Linked DNA regions of Saccharomyces cerevisiae S288C. The gene in region 1 interacts genetically with each later gene. Each region holds a gene or a part of one and is shown on either strand. Other genes may lie near its edges. The genes, in order: ATX1, RTR2, TIR3 and DOG1.

Region 1 (5,625 bases):
CTCACCTGAAAACTGTTACGCCTACAGCCAATATATGATGAAGGCAGTTAGAACAAATCCAATGTTTAGTTATCTGGACTTAAATATCAAACGTTATTGGGATCTGCTAATATGGATGGATAAGTTTAATTTTAGTGGATTAGCATGTATTGAAATAGAGGAAAAGGAAAATCAGGATTATACCGCTGTTTCGCAATGGCAACTAAAGAAGTTTCTGTCACCAATATATCAGCCCGAATTTGAGGATTGGATGATGATCATATTGGATAGTATGCTAAAGACAAAGCAGAGCTATCTAAAATTGAATTCAGGGACGCAAAGACCTACCCAAATAGTTAATGTAAAAAAACAAGATAAGGAAGATAGTGTTGAAAACTCGTTGAACGGATTTTCTCACCTTTTTTCCAAACCACTAATGAAAAGAGTCAAAAAGCTTTTTAAAAACCAGCAAGAGTTCATTTTAGATCCTCAGTATGAGGCAGACTATGTTATTCCTGTTCTTCCTGGTTCCCATCTGAATGTGAAAAATCCCCTTCTAGAACTTGTCAAATCACTCTGCCATGTCATGTTACTTTCAAAGAGTACAATTTTAGAAATCAGGACCCTGAGAAAAGAACTGCTGAAGATATTTGAATTGCGTGAGTTTGCTAAAGTAGCGGAATTCAAAGATCCAAGTTTGAGTCTCGTGGTGCCGGATTTTTTATGTGAATACTGTTTTTTCATTTCTGATATTGACTTTTGTAAGGCAGCTCCTGAATCTATTTTTTCATGCGTCAGATGTCACAAAGCCTTTAATCAAGTATTGTTGCAAGAACACCTGATTCAAAAACTACGTTCTGATATCGAATCCTATTTAATTCAAGATTTGAGATGCTCCAGATGTCATAAAGTGAAACGTGACTATATGAGTGCCCACTGTCCATGTGCCGGCGCGTGGGAAGGAACTCTCCCCAGAGAAAGCATTGTTCAAAAGTTAAATGTGTTTAAGCAAGTAGCCAAGTATTACGGTTTTGATATATTATTGAGTTGTATTGCTGATTTGACCATATGAGTAAGCAGTATATAACGCGAGGTTCAATGGCCTCTTTACCATGAAAAAAAAAAAAAAAAAAAAAAAAAGGTAAGGAAAAAGAGTATTTTCAATTCGTTTCTGAACATATAAATATAAATAACCGAAAAATTAGCCCTTGAACATAATTAACACTCTTCTTTGATATTTAAATCACAAGTACTTTTCTTTTATTTTCTTCTTAATACTTTTGGAAATAAAATGAATGTGACCACTCCGGAAGTTGCTTTTAGGGAATATCAAACCAACTGTCTCGCATCGTATATTTCTGCTGATCCAGACATAACTCCTTCAAATTTAATCTTGCAAGGTTATAGTGGAACAGGAAAAACCTACACTTTGAAGAAGTATTTTAATGCGAATCCAAATTTGCATGCAGTATGGCTGGAACCTGTTGAGTTGGTTTCTTGGAAGCCCTTACTGCAGGCGATAGCACGTACTGTACAATATAAATTGAAAACCCTATATCCAAACATTCCCACCACAGATTACGATCCTTTACAGGTTGAAGAGCCATTTCTTTTGGTAAAGACGTTGCACAATATTTTTGTCCAATATGAATCTTTGCAAGAAAAGACTTGCTTGTTCTTGATATTGGATGGTTTCGATAGTTTACAAGATTTAGACGCCGCACTGTTTAACAAATATATCAAACTAAATGAATTACTTCCAAAAGATTCTAAAATTAATATAAAATTCATTTACACGATGTTAGAGACATCATTTTTGCAAAGATATTCTACACATTGCATTCCAACTGTTATGTTTCCGAGGTATAATGTGGACGAAGTTTCTACTATATTAGTGATGTCTAGATGTGGCGAACTCATGGAAGATTCTTGTCTACGTAAGCGTATCATTGAAGAGCAGATAACGGACTGTACAGACGATCAATTTCAAAATGTAGCTGCGAACTTCATTCACTTAATTGTGCAGGCTTTTCATTCTTATACTGGAAACGACATATTCGCATTGAATGACTTGATAGACTTCAAATGGCCCAAGTATGTATCTCGCATTACTAAGGAAAACATATTTGAACCACTGGCTCTTTACAAAAGTGCCATCAAACTATTTTTAAGCACAGATGATAATTTAAGTGAAAATGGACAAGGTGAAAGCGCGATAACCACAAATCGTGATGACCTTGAGAACAGTCAAACTTACGACTTATCAATAATTTCGAAGTATCTGCTCATAGCCTCATATATTTGTTCATATCTGGAACCTAGATACGATGCGAGTATTTTCTCTAGGAAAACACGTATCATACAAGGTAGAGCTGCTTATGGACGAAGAAAGAAGAAAGAAGTTAACCCTAGATATTTACAGCCTTCTTTATTTGCTATTGAAAGACTTTTGGCTATTTTCCAAGCTATATTCCCTATTCAAGGTAAGGCGGAGAGTGGTTCCCTATCTGCACTTCGTGAGGAATCCTTAATGAAAGCGAATATCGAGGTTTTTCAAAATTTATCCGAATTGCATACATTGAAATTAATAGCTACAACCATGAACAAGAATATCGACTATTTGAGTCCTAAAGTCAGGTGGAAAGTAAACGTTCCCTGGGAAATTATTAAAGAAATATCAGAATCTGTTCATTTCAATATCAGCGATTACTTCAGCGATATTCACGAATGATTATCTCCCTGGAAGGTATCCAGAGGGCAGGATACGTTCGAAACAACAACTACGTTATATAAATATTTATACATAGTGGGATAGAATGAACAATTATCAAGTAAACCTTGTATTTTTTGTTCCCACGCTCTACGCTCTGTTTCTTGGATATGGTAATCAAAGATTAATACGTATAACCGTTATTAATTCAGTCCACTAGAAACTATTAAAAGCGCCCTACTGTATGGAAAAACAATGAATGAGGAGACTGAACGGCGCAAAATTGTTAGTTTAGTTGCTCTTTTTGGCGGCCGGCGATAATGTTCTTCACTTGGTATTCTTACCAGGATTGAGCCTGATTTTGTTTTGTCTTATTCTTTGCGATGTCTTCATTTTCTACAAAACCTCTAATTTCTCCGGCAATGGCCCTTGAAACGTCTTCAAAGACTTCAAATGTCACGGTGGGGGTTCTTTTATCTTTAACTAATCGATGAAGAGTTATTAGAATGGTTCTAAACTTATTTTTCAATTTTATTAACACCCTCTCAAATTCCATCACACTTTCATCATCGTTATTCATTTTCAAACCTTTCATTAAAGTACGAATGGTATGTATATTCTTTTCTAGTGTTGGACTATGCAATCCATACGATTCTATAACATCACACAAACCTTCCATTTGTCCCAGGAGCGTAAATCTTTGGAATCCCACTTGTAAACCATACTGTTTACCTTCTAGAAAGCTCTGCTTTATATTCTCATTCTGGCCCTCCAGAAAACCTTCTTGGTAATACTGTTCTTCTAGGTTTAGTAAATTATCAAAATCCATTTTTATTTGTCCAGTGATCTTTACTTTCCATTTACTCTTCAAATATGATAAGTGATTTGATTTAAACAAGTTTTTTTTCATTTTTCTTATAAAACGATTTCTCACCATGATTGAGATTTTTATATTAGTAAGATTATACTGAAAAGGCAAATGGCTACATAGCCAACAAAGAATAAAACAATAAAACAATAAAAAAAGACTTTTTTCTTCGTAAGCATCCTATTGAGAATATTAATCATTTACTTAAGTAGCTACAATACAAAATAGAGTAAAAAACTATTTCTCTTCACTTTCATTCACAATTGTTTGCCAGATCTAACTTCCTTTCCGGTTTTCTTAATCTTTTCTAAAATAAAATCGTAAGGAAGTGTAGTATATACATCTACTAATTGCTTTTCAAGGGATATATCTATTTTGGAAACGTCTGGTTCTAATTTCGTCAAAACTTTATTGACTGCACCAGAACATCCCGAGCAGGTCATGACGACATTGAATTGATAATGTTTTATCTCTGCCATCTTTTGCGCTAGTTCTCTCTTGTGTCGTTGGAAATCTCATCCTGCAATGTTTTAAGATGATTCAAGTCATTTAAGAAGCTCAAAAATGCACTACAAGATGTGCCAACTTTGCACCCCCAAAAAAAACTACCGCATCACGTGAAATTTATTAGAAAACTGAAAAAAAGACAACTTACGCATACGTAATACAAGATGTACATCTATTGCAATGATCATGTAACCTATCCTACGATTAATTATTTTTTAATCATCTAGAGCAGTGCCTCTAATTTCGTAAATATCATCAATGGCATTCCTTCGCAGGGGAGTGTCGGCAAACAATAACTCTATCCATTGGATTAGTTCGTCTGTCGCAAAAAGATAAAAATCCCCATTGTAAAACATCTCCATAATCTCCTTTAAATGTAATGGTAGAAACTTGCCCATAGTGGCGAATTTTTCTCTCATCTTTTTGTAACTTGGTTCCTTCGCTAATAATTGTATATCGGTGTTGTTCACTAATAAAGATACGAGCTCACCCAAATTTTCGGAATTGACCTCAGAGATAATCTGCCATTTTAATATTTCCTTTGTCACGCAATCGTTATATAAAAAGTTTAAGAAAGACAACAAGTAACGGGAACCTTCTTCACCTCTTATTTTCTGCAGTGGACGAACAATTTCCTTCAAGATATAAGGTAGCAGTTTCTCAATGGTGGCGTCCCACGATGGATTTCTCTCGTTCTCACGAAATTCGGTCAATTGATGCCTGATTAGTTGACAGACAATACGATATTTCATGTTCAGTTTAGTTTCCAGCAGGTTCCTTGTTAATTCTTTTATTCTATACAGCTTTTCATCTCGTTCTATTAGATATCTCATATCCACATATAATTGGCACCAATTGTGAGAAAAATTAGCTGTGCACATGGCCATATACGATGTCTGCAAAAGGTTGTATTTGTACGCAAAGTATTGCTCATCAACATGGCTATCTGCAAAGCTACTCTTGAAATTCTGTGAAATTGCCAAGAACAATTTTGGTAACTGTGTAACTTCAATGTGGTCTTTATCAAGTGATCCTACATCATGAGCTTTTAAATGTTCCTTTCCATTTTCTAGGGAAGCATCATCTATATTTTCGTCAATTGCCCAGGCTTCATCCCAGGCATTTTCTTCTTCTTCTGGTTCTTTTTCCTTCTCTTGATTTGTTTTTTCTTCCTCGTCGTCAATATTTACATCAATTTCATCACCCCATGCATCGGCATCATCATCCTCTACTTCCCAATTCCAATCATCATCTTTGGATACGGCATTATGGAGTTCTTTTTCGTTCTGTACATCTGAATCATTTTTTCCAATTTTTTCGCTCATCGTATTAGTATTGCTAGTAGTGAGCTCAACTACTTCCAAATTTTGCCAGCTCTTTTTTGGATCTTCAAATATACTTCTTATCTCACTAATATGCGATTCAAGAACTTTATCTAGTAATAAATTGTAGTATAATTGTTTGTTCATTAACAAATCCTGAATCTCTTTACCGGAATGTGTCCAATTGGTAACTTCTGATTTGGCAACTAGTCTAGTTAGTTTGTTATTTATGACAGAAA
Region 2 (6,149 bases), on another chromosome or scaffold:
AAGTTGGGATCGAAAGGTATTCTGGCAAAATATTTTGCAAGGTTGGTTCATATGATGTATAAGGAACAGGTTGATGGTTCAAAGAAAATTTCCATATCACCGATAAAATTTAAATTGGCATGTGGATCTGTTAACTCATTATTTAAGACTGCATCCCAACAGGACTGCCAAGAGTTTTGCCAATTCCTTCTAGATGGTCTTCATGAAGACTTGAACCAATGCGGTTCAAACCCACCTTTGAAGGAGCTTTCTCAAGAAGCTGAGGCGAGAAGAGAAAAACTGTCTTTGCGAATTGCCTCGTCAATTGAGTGGGAACGATTCTTGACTACTGATTTCAGTGTTATTGTCGACTTATTTCAGGGACAATACGCCTCACGACTAAAATGTAAAGTCTGTAGTCATACCTCGACAACATACCAACCTTTTACGGTGCTGTCAATCCCTATTCCTAAAAAAAATTCCCGAAATAATATTACCATTGAAGATTGTTTCAGAGAGTTCACCAAATGTGAGAACTTGGAAGTGGATGAGCAATGGTTGTGCCCACATTGTGAAAAAAGGCAGCCCTCCACGAAACAATTGACAATAACGAGATTACCGAGGAATCTGATAGTCCATTTAAAGAGATTTGATAATTTATTAAACAAAAATAATGACTTCGTCATATACCCTTTTTTGTTGGACTTGACTCCATTTTGGGCCAATGATTTTGACGGGGTTTTTCCTCCAGGTGTTAATGACGATGAACTACCAATAAGGGGACAAATACCACCTTTTAAGTATGAATTATATGGTGTAGCATGCCACTTTGGTACTTTGTATGGTGGTCATTATACAGCCTATGTGAAAAAGGGATTAAAGAAGGGATGGCTATATTTTGATGATACCAAATATAAACCTGTCAAAAACAAAGCCGATGCAATTAACTCTAATGCATACGTTTTGTTTTATCACCGCGTCTACGGTGTTTGATTCATTTGAATAAATAACTGAAAACCGTTGTCTATACACTTTTTTTCCCGTTCAACATGGCATATCATTATTTCCATCTAAGGTCAAAGTAAAAAACCCTAAATACAAATGATTTATTTTAACGGTAACAAACGAACTTTTTTTTAGAAGGTGTAAAGATGAGATCACGCCCAGATTTTGTCTTCCTCCTGTGCATCTCTTGGATTGATGATTTTCCTTTCTACCATAATACGTCATGAAAAGTATGTAAATATTTATAGCATTACATATATCTTTTATATGAAAAAAATCACTCATTCCCAGTCATCATCGTCGTCGTCGTCCTTGCTCTCATCCTTGTTGGCGAGGCCAACATGGTCACTAACATCTTTCAATCCCTCTTGAGACACAGCAACTTTCGTCTCCCCTTTAGATTTGTTGTCAGCTACTGCTTCTACTTTGTCATCATCTTCTTCTTCTTCTTCGTCATCCCACTCAACTTCTTTTTCCTCCGTTTCCTTTTCCTTTTTGGACAATATTTCTTTCCTTTTACTTTCTTTATCTAGAATTTTGTTTCTTTGTAAGAAATAGATGTGCCAGAAATCTTTATAGCTGATTTTATGGGGTACGATGTCGTTCATTAATTTGGAGATATCTTTGTCGCCCTGTAAAATAGAACATATCTCCTCAGTTTTTTCATCCACGTCAAACGGGTCCAGTTGCAAATCCATTTTATTGTCTAAATAAACCGATTTATCTTTAGATAATGTCCTTAGTTCGGCTTCTGTTCTATTTCCACCCACAGCAATTTCATTTTCTTTCGAATTCTCATCCTTGTCATTAGAGTCATTTTCTGCAGCATTATCGAAGCTACTGAAGCCAGACCAAAAATTCTTAGTTTTCATTTTGCTCCAATATGACTGGGCTAGACTTTCCACGCTGTGAATATTCTCGTCTAGTTTCTTCAAATACTTTTGTGCAGTCTCTGTAGTTTCATTGCTAATTGGCAAGTTAATTTCAATTCCGTCATCTTTCTCGATTACTAACTTTTTGAATGCACTTGTAGTCTTTTCATATCGTTTATTGACTTCCTCTTCTAACTTTTGGAAGGCCTCATTTGTTTTGTCATCTCGGCTCTGAAGTTCGTTATTTTCAGTGTTTTCTGTTGATCCAGTTTCCTTGGTATGAGAGTTGCTTATTTTATCATCTTCGATACAAGCTACTTGTTCTTCATAAAAGAATTCCATTTTATCCTAAAACGTCGAAGCAATGGAGCTCACTAGCTGTACCCTTATGTTGTGTTCTTTTTTTGTTGCATGACTTCTGCTAAGTGCTTTTTATCATTAATCACCGCTATTTGATGTAAGGCCAAAAAAAATGCGAAAGAAAAAAAGAGACTCTGTTAAGAAGGAAAGGAGTACCAATATAAACTATGGGTTCACAATTGCTATGAATACCCAGTTCACACATCTAGAATAAGCTATATGTATCAAAATGACACTAGTGACTCCGTTACAATTTTCGACTGTACAGCCAAATTTATATAGAGGATCTTACCCACGAGAAATCAATCTCCCATTCCTGAGAACCCTTAGATTGAAATACATATTATCTTTGACACCAGAACCTTTGAGCACTGATCCTCTAATGGTAAAGTTTTGTGAAGAAAATAACATTAAGACAATTCATATAAAATGTCAAAGTGAAAGAAAGGCAGACAAGACCAAACCCAAGATTAAAAGGAAAAAGAAAACAGTTCCTATTGAATACGATGTTGTAGTACGATGCGTTAAATTTCTGATTGATAAAGGGCATTACCCCTGTTATATGCACTGTACGAATGGTGAATTGATAATATCTCTCGTAGTAGCATGTATGAGAAAGTTTTCATATTGGAGTACGGTATCCATACTAAATGAGTTTTTGGTGTATAATTCCAGCATCAATATTCATGAAAGAAATTTCATTGAAAACTTTAACTCTGAAATCGAAGTTGACGATCTGGATATAAAGGATAAAGTTCCCTGGATTACCGTGCGATATATTGCAAGGACAGCCACAGAATCAAAAGATGAGTTGCGTGTTGATGATGCTAATGCGTCTGAAAAAGTTGCAAGAGTAAGTAGCGTGTCAAATTCTTTGCCAAAACTAAAATTTCATAGTATGTAAAATTCAGGGATAAATTCATATAATATTTTGTAAAGACAGAAGCTTCAGGGTTAAGTCTTAGCCGGGCCCTCCAGCATTGATAATCATTTTTTTCAATATCAAATGCCATTGAAAAGTCCAACGAAAATTACATCGACTTTACAAAAGAGACGAGCCGGTCACATTCTAGTATTGGCGAAGATTGGAAGCCATTTATCAACAGCAAGGAGGCATTCTGGAAAAATTGCAGCATATTTAAGAAAAGTGATAGGTTTATTTTTATACTAGAAGGACAGGAGCAACGCAAGCCATAATGCAGATAATAACCACTACGTTCATTCAAAAAGTAATTTTAGGATCACACCAATTACATGAGCAATTATCTATAGTGGAAGCCCGAATGATTGAATCTGCCATAGTTTCAATGCTCACAGAATCATTTTGCGAAAATGAGCAGACATTAAAATACTTAGCACGGCTACTTTCACCGATGTCTTATATGGATGTTATTAATGCAAGAAGGGGAAAGAAAATATGTGGGTACCCGCTATGCTATAAGAGTGCGGCAGAAAATTCATCTGATGGCTTCTTTATCCACTCAATGTATTGTAATAATTATCACAGTAAATGTTCGTTGTATTTAATGAGACAGTTATCACAAACGCCTCTGCATGAAAGGCGAGGCGTGCATTTAACTAGTTACATTAATCTAGAGTTTGATGATATGTACTCGGTAAGCCTTTTAGAAGAATTAGTTGGAAGTGAGGTACCTATAGATACCGTCAAATCGCTGATAACGAGTTTCAAGGATCTTGAGTTTGATGATACCTACAAGAATGAGCCTTTACCATTGGATGTGTACTTTGGACAGTTGACTACTGATGAGGAAACCTGTATAGAATAGGAAGTATAATTAAATCGTCTTCATCAGGATCCTTATCGCGGTCATACGAGTGACTATTTACATAGAAATGGAAGTAACCAGTAAATTTTCTATTAAACTTTCTGATTCACGCAACTTTTGCACTTAAAAACCGTATTTCGCCAAAACACTTGGCAAGTCCCTCCCTTCTATAAAGAGTGTCACATATGGTAATGTTTCTTTGCTCATTTTTCTGAATAGTGTCAACCGTTTGGCGTACATTTCTTTTGACTTTTTATCAAAATATGCTAGTTGGCCACCGTTCTTTAAAAGCTTTTCCTTATATTTGTTAAAGTACTCCACTCTTTGAAAACTTTTGGAATGTAATTCGAACATTATTTCTCTCACGGGATCTACCCATTCTTTAACTTTCTGATATTGACTCGAAGGATTACATTTAGTAGACTTTGGGATATTTGCAGCGTATTCCAAGTATTTCGGTAAGTTTACTTTAATAATCTTTTTCGACTCTAGATATTCCTCCCAAATGGCCTCATGTAATGCCCAAGCAGCATTAATTTCGCAAAAATTGAGATTATCGATATTTTTCTGAGAATCCTTCCTTTCTTTTCGTATCAATATTCCCAGCTTTTTCGATTGTTGTCTGCCCTTGTTAATTGGTGACCGAACAAACCATATTTGATTCCTTCCTTCTTTTGTATATGACAGCCCAGCAGAAGGTGGGCCATTTTTCAATTTTTGCTGAATATGAAATAGTTTCAGGCACGCATGTTCGTTCAATGCTAATGGTAATAGGAGTTTGTGCTGATACGTTTTTGGTATGTATGCAGGTAAAAGGCCCAAATCTTGTTTTCGCTTAATGTAAGCACTTAGAACATGAAATCTTCTTACTTCTTCTGGGTCGTTGGTCTTTACATCCCCTAATGAAGTCAAAGAGTTGAGGATTTTCGTTGTTTTCAGTTGTTTTTTCATCTTTTTTAATGGCTTCATTAAGTTTTTGATTTCTTGTAATTTACCTTCCAAAAGGCAATTGTTCAACAAACTGAATTCATTGAGTAAAGTATAAACACTCCAACTTGACTTGTCATGCTTGTGTTTGAACAATTGTATTGAAAGTGTTTTTTTTATTTCATATTGAAACGCATATGAGTGGCAACACTTTGGAATGTTTCTGAGAACGGTCCGATATAAGCTCAATACGTAAGACTTGTGAGAAGGAATCTTTCCAAAATTTTGAGCCATATTTTCTACTTGTTCATTACAAAAGTGTTAATCTGTTGCTTTCTCAGGCAGACTTGGTAACTGAAAACCTTAGGAAAGGCTGGGAGCAGCTTTGAAGTTAGAAACGGACACAAAAATTAGCAATAGTGAAATAAAATAAAATGCAACTTATCGTTTATAAAGAGATGTTTAAAAAATCAATTTTAGTTATACAAAATATACATATAAAATAATGAAATAAATGATTTAAACACTCTAGTTGACCAAAGCGGAGGCAGTGGCGGATTCGTACTTCCAGTTTGGTGGTAAGACAGCAACAGTTCTGTAGTATCTGGCCAATCTGTGAATTCTAGATTCGATCAAAATCAATCTGAACTTAGCGTCTTTGTCCTTTCTGTTTCTTTCCAAGTGCTTTCTAACAGAGACAGCCTTCTTAATCAAGTAGTACAAATCTTCTGGGATTTCTGGAGCCAAACCATTGGACTTCAAGATTCTCATGATCTTGTTACCAGTGATAACACGAGCTTGGGTAACACCGTGAGCATCTCTCAACAAGACACCAATTTGAGATGGAGTCAAACCCTTTCTCGCGTACTTGACAATTTGTTCAATGACAGATTCAGAGGACAACTTGAACCAAGCTGGAGCATTTCTAGAGTATGGAATAGCAGAAGAAGAAATACCTTTACCCTGTTTAAAGTAATATTTAGTGGAATTGGATATTCCAAAAAATTTATCGAATGTTAGTAACATGAAGATTCATATGGCTTGAAGAAAAGTGTATCATGACATATTTCCTCGTTCAGACCATACAATTCCATTAAAGTATAACTATTCCGGGTGATTCTTCAATCTTGGTTCTCCTCCGATAGGTTAACGTGTTATGTTATGAGCTTTGTGAAAACTAATTCATAAAGGCGGCTAGCCATCAGTAATTTTCCGGCGT
Region 3 (6,518 bases), on another chromosome or scaffold:
AAATCAGCAACCAGTTTTTCCGAAGGCAATCTTAATAGGTTGCTAACAACTCCTAAATAGTCTCTATCCCCATCACCTCTTAGGACGCAGGAAATTTCCAAAGACTCTCTCACAGTTAAGAGCTCTAAATGAACATCTTGCTGTTGAACGAACCCTATACTTCTTCTGAATGCATCAATATTCGTTAAGGGCTGTCCATCGATTAATAATTCACCGGTAACAACCCCGCTTTCGGTCCTTTGAGACAAGACATTCAACAAAGTTGTCTTACCAGCACCAGATTCACCCATTAGGGCAGTTAATCCGGAACTTATATATCCAGAAGCGTCGTTGATCAATTTTTTGTCTCCAATGGTATAATTGATATTTTTCCAGGAGATGACGTGCTTTTGCGTTTCCATAGCTACGGATTCCTTAGTATGATTGTTAACAGTTTCATCTGGATGTTTAATATTGTAATCAGTATCGTATTGATGCGAGACTGATGGAACAGAAGAGGATGAAGTGGAAAAATTGGCTATCGGGGTCTTGGGAGTACATACGCCATCGTTGTTGGTAATAGCGCTTTTATTATTCTTTTTTTGGCTATTCAGAAAGGGACAGTATCTTTTGAGATAGTTATTCCAGCGCAATAAATTTTCTCTAGTAAACAGAGGCGTGATATATTCCGCTGCTAGTAAAGAGCAAAATAGGAAGAAACACAGAAACCCAATGATAATACCGAAATTTCTCCACACGTGATGGTAAGTGTATTTCAATCCACTTTTTAAATAATCACGGCCTCTGACGTAATCGTTACCTAGGGTAGCGCCTTGCCAGGCACAAGCTTTATGACTGAATGAAATATTGTCATAATATTCACCTCTGGGAATAATACTTTCATGACAGTCTAGTTTCAGGTTAAACAATTCGTTACTCAAAATGGCTTCCATGGCAAACATAGCAGGATTCAAATATGCAATCCATATGAACCATGGATGCATATCTTTCATATAAATAACATAGGACGCGTACATGGCAATGGCTAACAGTAAGATACCGGCCAATAGGTTTGCCATTGATAGAGTTGGAGCGATCAAAGCAGTTAATGCAAATAGTGACACCATGCAAAAATTATAGACGGAAAGGAAAAGCAAAAAGATGAAAAACCTAGCTGCATTGTACTGTAAATGGGCCAAAAAGTAAAGTATGATTGTAAAAATAACCACCAGTATAAATTTAGAGCAGCAATCGAAAAAATTTGTTGCTAAAGTTTCCACCCAATTATAATAAAAATGGAGCTGGACATGTTTACGAACGACGGGTTGCCTTTGAAAGGAAGCAGGCATGTCGGCGAGAGAAAGAAATGTAAAGAATAGGATGGAAAAGAAAGTTAAAGATCCTCTAGAAAACGAACCAATTGTTGTCAGGGGAATGTTATAAAAAAGGGACCCAATAACCAAAGACTGCACCACAACAGAAACAAATTGAGAAATCAAGTAGTTTCTGTCACCAATGATTCTTTCGAAAGCTCTTACAGTGCACGTTTTCAGTTGCGTCTTTAGCGGAATACTAAAAATGGGGGAGATATCATCCGGATTAACATCTTTTCTGGTGCATTCTTGCACTGTTTTTGAAGTGATGGCCTTCCAGTGTTTATAGTATGGAGACTGAATCCATAATGTATGCAAATCTGTTTCATTATTGATGTTTAAAGCTTGATTTTCTTCAGAAACAACAGATGGAGTGTCAAGACCAACAATGGAATTAGACGTTTCCTTGAACTTAAAATTTAAGATTGATGTTAAATATTCAATAATACAATCGTTAGGGTTTTTTTTTATCTGTAAGGTGTCATGAAAATGGGTTAAACACTCCTCCATGGTTCCGTAAAACACCTGGAAGGAATCACCTAACATAAGAATCTTGTCAAACTTGCTGACAATTTTGTCGCTTGCTTGAGAAATTTTAACAAAATTCACCGATCTTGTAGCTTTTGCCATCTTTTGGGTAATGGAAAGAAATTCTAGGGCGGTGGCAGAGTCCAAACCCTTCGTCGAGTTGTCCCATAAGTAAACAGACCCATTGGCAATAAACGTTTCTATAATGGAGATACGTTTCCTTTCACCTCCAGAAACACCACGAACGTAGTCATTACCCACATACGTCTTCTTTACGTGCGACAGTCCGAACTCTTTTAATAACTCGTCTCTCATTTCAATACGCTCTTGCTTGGGAATGTGAAACTTACAACTCAACGCAAAATCAATGGTTTGCTCCACCGTCAGATACGGGAAGTGAATATCTTGTTCGTTATTATAAATGATCTGATGGGGGCATTTGGAAGCAAACTGTTTGTACTCATTGTCTTTGAATCTAATAGACCCTTCAGGCGAGTATTTCAGATGCTTGTGACCATGGAATAGACCTTTGAAGAGCGCTGATGTTGGGTTTCCCAGTACTAAGACGACTTCACCTTCATTAGCACGAAAAGTGATATCACTAATTTCTAAATGGCCTACGTTTTTGAATTCCGATGCGGACTCTTCATCGTTCTGAACAGCACCGAGGGATTCTTCCAATTGAACGGTAGCCCCATCAAAGGTGACTGAAGCGTCAGGAATTGGATTAAAATATTTGGAAAGAGACATCCGCGAGGCGTTGCTTCTCTAATTTTACTCTATCGTGTTTAGTTGTGAATTTTTTTGCTACAGTATGCAAGTTCTTTTTACCAACCCGTTTACGAACTAATGAGAAAAGGGTTTAAGTGTGTGATAATACTATTAATAGCTAAAAGAGCAGAGAGCTTTACGATGTTGTATGTTGTTTTATATAGGTGAGAGCAGGATCTGCGGAAAATACTTCGTACCGTAGTATCCATTTTGCCTATGGAGGAAAGCTTGTTTCCAAACCAGGAGATCCGCAGACAGGAAAAGTTCGAGGCCAAACAAAAACCGCAGCACAATGGAGTAAAAGTCGAAGGCACGGGCCCCAAACGATAGAGTGGAAGTTGTAGGAAACAAAAGTGGCCGTCTATGTGGCGCTTCTCTGCGGTGAATTCTGTGCGAAGTGCCTAAACGAAAACGGACGGAGAAGGCTGCGGGGGGATATCCCTTGCATAAAGGATGCCCGGCACTGTCCTAGACGGTGCCTTCCCTTAGAGACTAGGAGAGACTTGAGTAGGAGAAACTGAGCAGGAAAATTCGAGAGATAAAGTACATGTGCCTAGGTAAGCTGTACTTCGAACAGCTAATATTAGTAAGATGCATAAAGGGGCGTCAAAGTGGAAATATAACGACAGGAGAATCTCGGTGTGTAAGTTGGAATGTGTATTGCACCACTTCCATGATTGGGCTTTTTTCCTGGCGCAAAATGTTGCTTTTTCAACATTTTTCTTATACGCAGAGAGAGAATCGTCAGATAGGTGGTAAAACTTGGAGCCTAATTAGCTCATTATTTCATTTGAACGAGACATTGGCTTCTGCCCTACATCACCCATACGAGACATTGGCCTTATACGAGGCGTACTTCGCCTTGCGGGAAAAAAAATTTCTTTTGTAAGCGAGGTTACTCAGAAACTGTGACTGAAGGCAGAGGTTGGAAACGTGTGTAGACTCCAAATGGAACGATAGGAACGTGTACCCTACCGCTTCTGCACACGTTTCTTAGATATGCGTGCCTTAAGGCGACCCATTGTTCCTGTTTACCATGATTTCTGTAGGCTTTTTTTTAGAAGGCCCTAGAATGGATTGCAGATTTCCGTCTGAGAAGGCAGTATACGTACATATGAATATATATATACATATATTCTTTGGTGGAGAGTATAAGCGTTTCGTCTCCTCTTCCTTTCTCTACTGCAGATTTTCTTGCTGGTTGTTTGATTTTTTCTTTTTAGTGTTCCCCAGATCCAATTGTTCAACCGCCCACACACAACAATGTCTTTCACTAAAATCGCTGCCTTATTAGCTGTTGCCGCTGCCTCCACTCAATTGGTTTCTGCTGAAGTTGGACAATATGAAATCGTCGAATTTGACGCTATTTTGGCTGATGTCAAGGCCAATTTGGAACAATATATGTCCTTGGCAATGAATAATCCAGACTTTACCCTACCATCTGGTGTTTTGGATGTTTACCAACATATGACCACTGCTACTGATGATTCCTACACCAGTTATTTCACCGAAATGGACTTTGCTCAAATCACCACTGCCATGGTTCAAGTGCCTTGGTACTCTTCTAGACTGGAACCTGAAATCATCGCTGCTTTACAAAGCGCGGGTATCAGTATTACCTCCTTAGGTCAAACCGTTTCCGAATCTGGTTCCGAATCTGCCACTGCTTCCTCAGACGCTTCTTCTGCTTCTGAATCCTCTTCAGCTGCTTCTTCTTCTGCTTCTGAATCCTCTTCAGCTGCCTCCTCTTCTGCTTCTGAATCCTCTTCAGCTGCTTCTTCCTCTGCTTCAGAATCTTCTTCTGCTGCCTCCTCTTCTGCTTCTGAAGCTGCTAAGTCTTCTAGCTCTGCCAAGTCTTCTGGCTCTTCTGCTGCTTCATCTGCTGCTTCATCTGCTTCTTCCAAGGCCTCTTCTGCAGCTTCCTCTTCTGCAAAGGCCTCCTCTTCTGCAGAAAAATCTACTAATAGCTCCTCCTCTGCTACCTCCAAGAACGCTGGTGCAGCTATGGACATGGGCTTCTTCTCCGCTGGTGTTGGTGCCGCTATTGCCGGTGCCGCTGCTATGCTCTTATGATTGTCACTTATTAATGATAAATTATAAAATGTTATATGTAAAAAAACAAATATACACTTTTTGAATATTAGTATCCTATTTTAATATACTGTCTCCTAGATAATACAAACTTAATTTGCTTTCTCTTCACACTTTTTTCTTTACTCTTGTAATGTACACTTGGCTGTACATTAAAAAAAGGAATGTTCGAGCAAGAGCATGAAATCCACAGACGGCTGTGCCATGTAGCAGCCGTCGAGAAAAAAAAGATATAGAAAAGGGAAGAGAAATATCATTGTTATTACATCCACTGGATGAAGTAATACTACGAGCTTTATACAGGTAATATTAAAGTTCCTTAATAGAATGGGTGAAGCACTACGTAGATCAACCAGGATTGCAATATCCAAAAGAATGTTGGAAGAGGAAGAGTCCAAACTGGCCCCTATTTCGACACCGGAAGTGCCTAAGAAGAAAATCAAGACGGGTCCTAAACATAACGCTAATCAAGCAGTAGTTCAAGAGGCAAATAGGTCATCTGATGTTAACGAATTAGAGATAGGCGATCCTATTCCTGATTTGAGTCTTTTAAATGAAGATAATGACTCTATCTCCTTGAAGAAAATCACCGAAAATAACAGAGTTGTGGTGTTTTTTGTGTATCCCAGGGCAAGCACGCCTGGTTGTACTAGACAGGCCTGTGGATTTCGTGACAATTACCAGGAACTCAAGAAATATGCTGCTGTCTTTGGACTGAGTGCAGATTCTGTGACATCCCAGAAAAAGTTTCAGAGTAAACAAAATTTGCCATATCATTTACTAAGCGATCCAAAGAGAGAGTTTATTGGGTTGCTAGGAGCCAAAAAAACGCCACTTTCTGGTTCTATTAGATCGCATTTCATTTTTGTTGATGGGAAGTTAAAATTCAAAAGAGTTAAGATATCACCAGAAGTTAGTGTAAATGACGCCAAAAAGGAGGTTTTAGAAGTCGCTGAAAAGTTTAAAGAAGAATGAAGTTTAATAACCCCCTTTTTGTTTCTCTAGAGGAGTACTTATCGGTAAAATATTCCAAACCCTTCCCTTTATATATGTAGATAAACGAAGATATTCTAACTCTCTCACACTTATAAAATATCGAGCCTGCAGAAGGTCATAAATATTTATATACAAATGGGAAAGTACTTAACGATCCGACTTGATCAATATCAAATATCGTGGCCTGGTTTACATTGAGAACGGGCACTATTTCTTTGGACGAAATGTTGCTTAGGCAAATTTTGAAGTGAGACATTGCTCGAGAATTTGTTACGTAGACTAAGTCAGCATCGCCAATGATCATTAAGCAATTGGTCGTCTCAGATGTGATCCTGCAATTATGAGTCCTTTCAAAATTAGATACACACTCTTGGGAAAACTCAACTAAGTATTTGGTGTGAGGAATCTCTTATCGATGCGTATACCTTGTAGTCGCAAACGTTATAAAATTTTGTAATTTTGGCGAAATGGCACGGATTGGTTAAAATTGTCGGGCTCATATGCGGTAGCGCTAAGTCCTGCTTGGTCAAGCTAGGAATTACATGGCCAGAGGGATGATATTGATCATGCTCCGAGTTGTCTTCAATTAATGCCTTTATCCATGGTTGTAGAAAAACTGAGTCTGTTGGCTTTGAATGAGACTCCAGAATTACTTTCGGCATTGTTTACTTGTTATCCCGATTTGTACCCAGGATTTACAGCTTTTAATTCATTATCTATGGTCAACTTTTGCTGTCTAGTTTCATATTTACTCGCTACCGTTTCACCAACTGTAGTCAT
Region 4 (6,493 bases), on another chromosome or scaffold:
CCACGTTCGTCGTTCTAACTTCAGATTGCCTTCCAACCCTTCCACCCCAGTTATCATGATCGGTCCAGGTACCGGTGTTGCCCCATTCCGTGGGTTTATCAGAGAGCGTGTCGCGTTCCTCGAATCACAAAAGAAGGGCGGTAACAACGTTTCGCTAGGTAAGCATATACTGTTTTATGGATCCCGTAACACTGATGATTTCTTGTACCAGGACGAATGGCCAGAATACGCCAAAAAATTGGATGGTTCGTTCGAAATGGTCGTGGCCCATTCCAGGTTGCCAAACACCAAAAAAGTTTATGTTCAAGATAAATTAAAGGATTACGAAGACCAAGTATTTGAAATGATTAACAACGGTGCATTTATCTACGTCTGTGGTGATGCAAAGGGTATGGCCAAGGGTGTGTCAACCGCATTGGTTGGCATCTTATCCCGTGGTAAATCCATTACCACTGATGAAGCAACAGAGCTAATCAAGATGCTCAAGACTTCAGGTAGATACCAAGAAGATGTCTGGTAATCAGCCCACTGATCAAGCCTTCGGCGCGGTTGTTCAACCACACGATCTGTATCAAAGAAAAATAAGTTAGATAACCAAAAAAAAAAAAAATTTCATACTCACTATAAGAAATCATACGCAGTTCAACTTTTGCTTTTACATACAATTTTATCTATATATTCGTGCTTCTGCGATGTCCTTATTTATTTAATCTCTCGTCAAAGGGTTGTTTACCTGGATAACGATACCGTTCTCATTGTTCTTAACCACGGAAACCTGTGTCAAATCACAGACCACATAATCTGCACCTGCGTCAAATAAAACGCTCTTATCATACGAGGATGTTATACCCACAGTAATTGCGCCCATTGCTTTGCCGGCCTTTATGCCCACGGGTGCATCTTCAAAGACAACATACTTCAGATCCTGTTTACCAGTTAATTGCAAATCTTGACGCAATAAATCACGAGCTCTTGAGTAACCCTCGGGATCAGGCTTACCGTTCTTCACGTCAAATCCAGTAATGAAAACTTTGGGCTTTCCAACATTTTTCAATATTGTCTCGAACCATGAAAATGCCAAATATGGAGAACCAGAGGTAACGATAGCCCATTTCCTTTCAGGTAACTTTTTTTGAGTCTCAGTATCTACATCTAACGATAACAATAAATTCTCTGCACCAGGGATAAGGCTTACTGTGTCCAAATAATTATCTGCCATATCCTTTTCTAACGCAAGAACACCTTTATTATCGGTATTGTCCAATTTTGGAAAAAATTTCTTCATCATTTCTTGTGATCTTGCACCATGGGAATGCTTGAATAACTCAACAGGATCAACCCCATGCTGACGGCATAATTTTTTCCAGGCACTTTCCGCTGCAGTTGTTGTGCTGACAATAGTCCCATCTAGGTCAAAAAGACAAAGATCTACTGAAAATTGTGGCATTTTTTTTTTTTATTTTTTTGACGTAAATTTTTTATGTATATAGCAGTAAATGTATCGATAACGTGTTGGCTAATACTATAGTGAATAACAAAAAGTACTCTTAGTCTCCTTTTAGCATTTGTTTTCACCAAAGAAGATGTTGCCAGCGCATTTTAAGTTTTTGAAAAATCCTCGAGAATTACCCCTTCCCCACATTTAAAAATAATGACGGAGCGTATTCAATCTACGGAACTATTCTCTACGAGAAATAATAAGATCATTACGTAGTTCTTACATCCTGACGCAATTGTGATTAAAGATAATGATACAAAACTGAATACAAAGCATTCCAACGAAATACAGTTGATGGAAGTGTTTTGCGCTAAGGAAGATTAACATATAACCACACAACCATCTTCGAAGAAAAACTCAAAAAAAATCTTACCTCTTCAGTACCTAAAATGACATACATAATTCGACTTTTTGCTTGTCCATATGTTTTACATCTATATATATTCGTTCTTTTGTCACATTTTTGTTTACTCAGGCCCTTGTCAAAGGGTTGTTTACCTGGATGACAATACCGTTTTCATTGTTCTTAACCACGGAAACCTGTGTCAAATCACAGACTACATAATCTGCTCCTGCGTCAAATAAAACGCTCTTGTCATACGAGGATGTTATACCCACAGTAATGGCGCCCATTGCTTTGCCGGCCTTTATGCCCACGGGTGCATCTTCGAAGACAACATACTTCAGATCCTGTTTACCAGTTAATTGCAAATCTTGACGCAATAAATCACGAGCTCTTGAATAACCCTCGGGATCAGGCTTACCGTTCTTCACGTCAAACCCAGTAATGAAAACTTTGGGCTTTCCAACATTTTTCAATATTGTCTCGAACCATGAAAATGCCAAATATGGAGAACCAGAGGTAACGATAGCCCATTTCCTTTCAGGTAACTTTTTTTGAGTCTCAGTATCTACATCTAACGATAACAGTAAGTTCTCTGCACCAGGAATAAGGCTTACTGTGTCCAAGTAACTATGGGCAATATCTTTTTCTAGAGCAAGAACACCTTTATTGTCTGTATCATCCAATTTAGGGAAAAACCTTCTCAAAACCTCTTGTGTTCTTGCACCATGAGAATGCTTAAATAACTCGGAAGGATCAACACCGTATTCGTAACACAACTTGGTCCATGCTTTCTCTGCGGCCACTGTTGTACTCACTATGGTACCATCTAGGTCAAAAAGACATAGATCAGCTGAAAATTCTGCCATTATCCTTTGAACTTCTTACGTGAGTGGCAACGTAACCAACAATCTCCATCAGAACGTTATTTCCAACAGAATAATCGCGATCATTAAAAATGAAAATAAAATTAAATAAAATACTTGCAATAAAAAAGTTCCATGAAATTTATATCATTAGATGGTACCAGAGCCTATAATCTCATAGATATACGCTTCCTTCTATAGCTGAACAACGGTTGTTTGAAATGTCGGGGTTAATGTCGGAATATATAGGAATACTCTGACGTGTCTGTATCACGGAACATAACCGTGATTGAAAATTACAAGAAGCCAAGACTCTAAAGGATATGCGGTAGAAGGCGTGTGTAGAAGAGCCCAGTGTATATTTTTTCACCGATAAGATGAAGTAGATAAACGGAATTTCTGGCAAGTTACTTGGCAAAAGGATACATAGCACGAATTACTTTATTATAAATATTGTAACTGATTGCCTTGAATTGATGTTAATGAGAATCCTAGGACCCTTGGTTTGGTCATTAGCTTTTCGTTTTTCTTTGCGCGTCGTTAAGAATGAAAAAGTTCTAATATGTATCGTATCATAAACGACAGCAACTTCGAGAAGTACATTGAATGGAAATCATTCTGCAACACCTTTATAGCTTCAACATAGGTTAAGTTTTAAGCATTTCAAGTGCTTTTCAATTAAGCTATAGAAAGTTCTTTCGTTAGAAAGAAAGACAGTTAAACAAGCGGCAAAAGTTGATGAGCAATGAATTGGTCTTTTCTACTACAGCTGGTAATAACAATATTGTTAATTGTGCTGGGCGCCAACTGGTTGCTAAGCTCTTTTCTACTTGATTTTAAGAGAGATTTAACAGGGGTGGCTTTGTCACAGCAATCTAGCATATCCAGTGTTCGTAAAGAAAATGAAACAGCATATTATCGAAGCATTTTAGTGCCCACAGGATTCCCATTGACGACAGGATTAGGGCTATCTTTAAAATACAAAATAAGAAATGGCAATTTCGGTGATGTTTGGAATGCCATAATGGAAGTTTCCAAGGGAAAAAACATAATTAAATTTACAGGAAGAGAAAAAAGTTATTCGTTGAGTGAACTTAATGGTATGGCCAAGCGCATATTTCCGAAACTTTCCAATAAGAATTTCAAAAATATCGGTATAGCTAATTCTATTGCTACCGTAGAGGGTTTTACTCTCTCCTTGGCTTCCATGATGACCTCTATAAGAACAGGTTCAATACCTCATTTCTTGCCAGCTGTTCCTAGACAACGACTAGAAGATGTTGATGTCCTGATCATCGACTCATGGAAGTCTTTTAAGATGCTAAACGGCAGCGAGGATTGGTACAAGCTTATTGTTGTTTGCGATGATCCTATCGAATCACTACAATTTGATGCGAACTGTGATGTTATCACTTGGAAAGAACTTATCGACGGTTTTACCAAGGATACAGAGTACCAATACACCCCGCCAGATGACAACTCTGATGATAAGAAACTTTTTGCATACGTAACTTCACCATGGAATGGAACTAATAGTTTTAATCAAATCTGTCTGGTGAGTAATATAGCGGAATTCATCAAAGGGTTCCCCTTGGGAAATGAATTGAATAGTAATGAATACCTAACCATTTCGACAAAATTGGCAAATTCTAGTGCAAGCCTACAAATTTGGGGAAAGCTTTTTGCAGTTTTGCTGCATGGTGGGTCTGCATCTTTCATCAATCCTACAACGATAGATTGCGAGTCGTTGCAAGAAACTACGTTACTGTTTACCGAAACAAAGGATGTTGTCAAATTAATTGATTCTAATTCTAGAAGTGGGCTGCTGAATAAAATCTACTTATCCTGGGCCACGAACTTACTGAGCGAGGGTATTTTTACGAAAATTGCCAGAATCGAGCCACATTCTCTTGAAAAATTAAGATGTGTTTATTTGGCAGATAATGTGAAAGATGCTGAGGTTATTTCGACATTTCCTGAAAAAATTCCTCAGCTAAAAAAGACTAACCGAAGAATCACCCCAAGCACTGAACAATTGAATAAAATAAGAGCTCAATTAGGATCCCGTGTAGTCCTCGAGTTATATTGTCCCTACGCTATCATGGGACCTGTGGCACATACCAATTTTTATGACTATAGGGTTTTTGGAAAATCTGTGGACGATAACGTTGTATGTTATGGAACACTAAGTACAACATTAGAAGGAAAAATGGTAGAAACGGAAACAAACCCTCATTTGAACATAGAGAAGAAGCAGGGTATGTTATGTATTCGTGGTTTTAGCATAGGTAAACCAGTAGAGTCCGATCGTTTAGAGAAAGCTTTGCATTTAGCTGAAAGGTTTGGAGGAGGTGAAGGATGGATGCCTCTAGTTGGCGTTTTTGGACTATTTGGCCAAGACGGTTGCTTATACATCTATAATCAATGAGCATTATCTATCGCTTTATTATTTATTATTTATTATTATCATTATTATTATTATCATTATTATTATTACTACCAATACCTTCTATATCCCTGTGATCAGCTAAAATGATTCAAATAACTGTCATTTTAATCGTACATTTTATATTAGGCCTAATGTGCTGACGATCAGTCATATTTCAAATGGCCATCAACACAGTTCCAAAAGTCTGTGATATATTTTGTTTGTTCGTCACTTTCGTTATTAATTGTTCCCCTCACAGCCAAATATGTCCTATTGTCGACATCAATACTCCATTCACCTGGATTGGCACCTACTACACGACCGCCCACTTCTTTCAAAATACACCATCCAGCACACACGTCCCACGAATAGCAACCACCATCCCAATAACTATCAAGGTACCCCATAGCAATATATGCCATTGTCATTGCAGATGATCCTAAATTTCTGAATCCATGAACAAAACCGTAATCACATGATAGTAATTTTTCATATGTGGCCATTTTTGTCTGAAAATTCTTTCCCTCTCTAGCGGAACCTGGCTGTAATGCCACTACGGATTTATTTAGTATTAGAGAACCCATAGATTCCAATTTTGATTTATAGTCATAGTCCTTGTTGTTAACTCTCATCCCATTTCCTTTAGAAGCGGATACCAGAAGATTAATGTGAGGATTATATATAACGCCTACTACGGGCTCTTTGTTTACTGTGAGCCCAAGAGAGGTACAGCTAAATGGGAAATCATGAACAAAGTTTGTAGTCCCATCAATTGGATCAATAATAAAGGTAGGATCATCAGTAATCACGGTCTCCCCTTTCACATAACTTTCCTCTCCAATAAACTTGAAAGTTGGATATTGGGTTTTTACCGATTCCCAAATTAACTTTTCGACCTGTTTATCGATAGCAGTTACAATATCAACGCTCCTGGAGCCAGTCTTCAAGTCATAATCCTTTTGAGTGCCGGACTTGGATTTGATGATTGGTCCTACTTTTTCAGTAGCCAGTTCACAGAGGAATTTCTCGATAGAAGCTAGATCAATGGTCATGGTATATGTGTATATGCGTGTACCAGCTGTTGATTTCCTTATTCATCCAAAAAAAAGAAAACACTGGGGTTATTTAACAAGCAGTTAAATGTGAAGTAAGAGATAAAAGACCTATATTAATACCATTTTTGGAAAAGCAACGTGCGCAACAATGAAAGTCACTCGATGCATCCATTATTCAAAAAAAAGTTTTTTTTTTTTTTCCATACATCATCAGATGAAAAAATCTCGCTATGACGCACGCCAGTCAATATTCACTCAGTTCTTCCGAAAGGAAGCAGAAGAAAGTTCTCTATACTTGGAAAT

What was found.
Region 2: mutations in ATX1 (region 1) and RTR2 together harm fitness more than expected from each alone (negative genetic interaction), as found in Saccharomyces cerevisiae (one large-scale study listed by BioGRID).
Region 3: mutations in ATX1 (region 1) and TIR3 together harm fitness more than expected from each alone (negative genetic interaction), as found in Saccharomyces cerevisiae (one large-scale study listed by BioGRID).
Region 4: mutations in ATX1 (region 1) and DOG1 together harm fitness more than expected from each alone (negative genetic interaction), as found in Saccharomyces cerevisiae (one large-scale study listed by BioGRID).

What each region holds. Positions count from the first base shown.
Region 1 is NC_001146.8:153,830-159,454, forward strand, and holds ATX1 (copper metallochaperone ATX1), read right to left. Parts: upstream 4,037-5,625; coding exon 3,815-4,036; downstream 1-3,814. Other genes in the region: POL2 (DNA polymerase epsilon catalytic subunit), read left to right, coding at 1-1,051; ORC5 (origin recognition complex subunit 5), read left to right, coding at 1,271-2,710; ribosome biosynthesis protein LTO1, read right to left, coding at 3,030-3,518; DSL1 (Dsl1p), read right to left, coding at 4,280-5,625. UniProt on the Saccharomyces cerevisiae protein: Copper homeostasis factor that specifically transports copper to the secretory pathway for incorporation into copper enzymes destined for the cell surface or extracellular milieu.
Region 2 is NC_001136.10:579,762-585,910, reverse strand, and holds RTR2 (putative protein-serine/threonine phosphatase), read left to right. Parts: upstream 1-3,412; coding exon 3,413-4,003; downstream 4,004-6,149. Other genes in the region: ubiquitin-specific protease DOA4, read left to right, coding at 1-972; DOS2 (Dos2p), read right to left, coding at 1,266-2,198; OCA6 (protein-tyrosine-phosphatase), read left to right, coding at 2,446-3,120; RRG1 (Rrg1p), read right to left, coding at 4,127-5,224; 40S ribosomal protein uS15 RPS13, read right to left, coding at 5,459-5,893. UniProt on the Saccharomyces cerevisiae protein: Probable RNA polymerase II subunit B1 C-terminal domain (CTD) phosphatase that regulates RNA polymerase II transcription. May have functional redundancy with RTR1.
Region 3 is NC_001141.2:329,813-336,330, forward strand, and holds TIR3 (Tir3p), read left to right. Parts: upstream 1-3,914; coding exon 3,915-4,724; downstream 4,725-6,518. Other genes in the region: ATP-binding cassette multidrug transporter PDR11, read right to left, coding at 1-2,630; YIL012W (uncharacterized protein), read left to right, coding at 3,199-3,540; thioredoxin peroxidase DOT5, read left to right, coding at 5,070-5,717. UniProt on the Saccharomyces cerevisiae protein: Component of the cell wall. Required for anaerobic growth.
Region 4 is NC_001140.6:192,099-198,591, forward strand, and holds DOG1 (2-deoxyglucose-6-phosphatase), read right to left. Parts: upstream 2,711-6,493; coding exon 1,970-2,710; downstream 1-1,969. Other genes in the region: NCP1 (NADPH--hemoprotein reductase), read left to right, coding at 1-520; DOG2 (2-deoxyglucose-6-phosphatase), read right to left, coding at 707-1,447; DDE1 (Dde1p), read left to right, coding at 3,453-5,135; inositol monophosphate 1-phosphatase INM1, read right to left, coding at 5,300-6,187. UniProt on the Saccharomyces cerevisiae protein: Phosphatase that is active on 2-deoxy-D-glucose 6-phosphate (2-DOG-6P), as well as on fructose-1-P.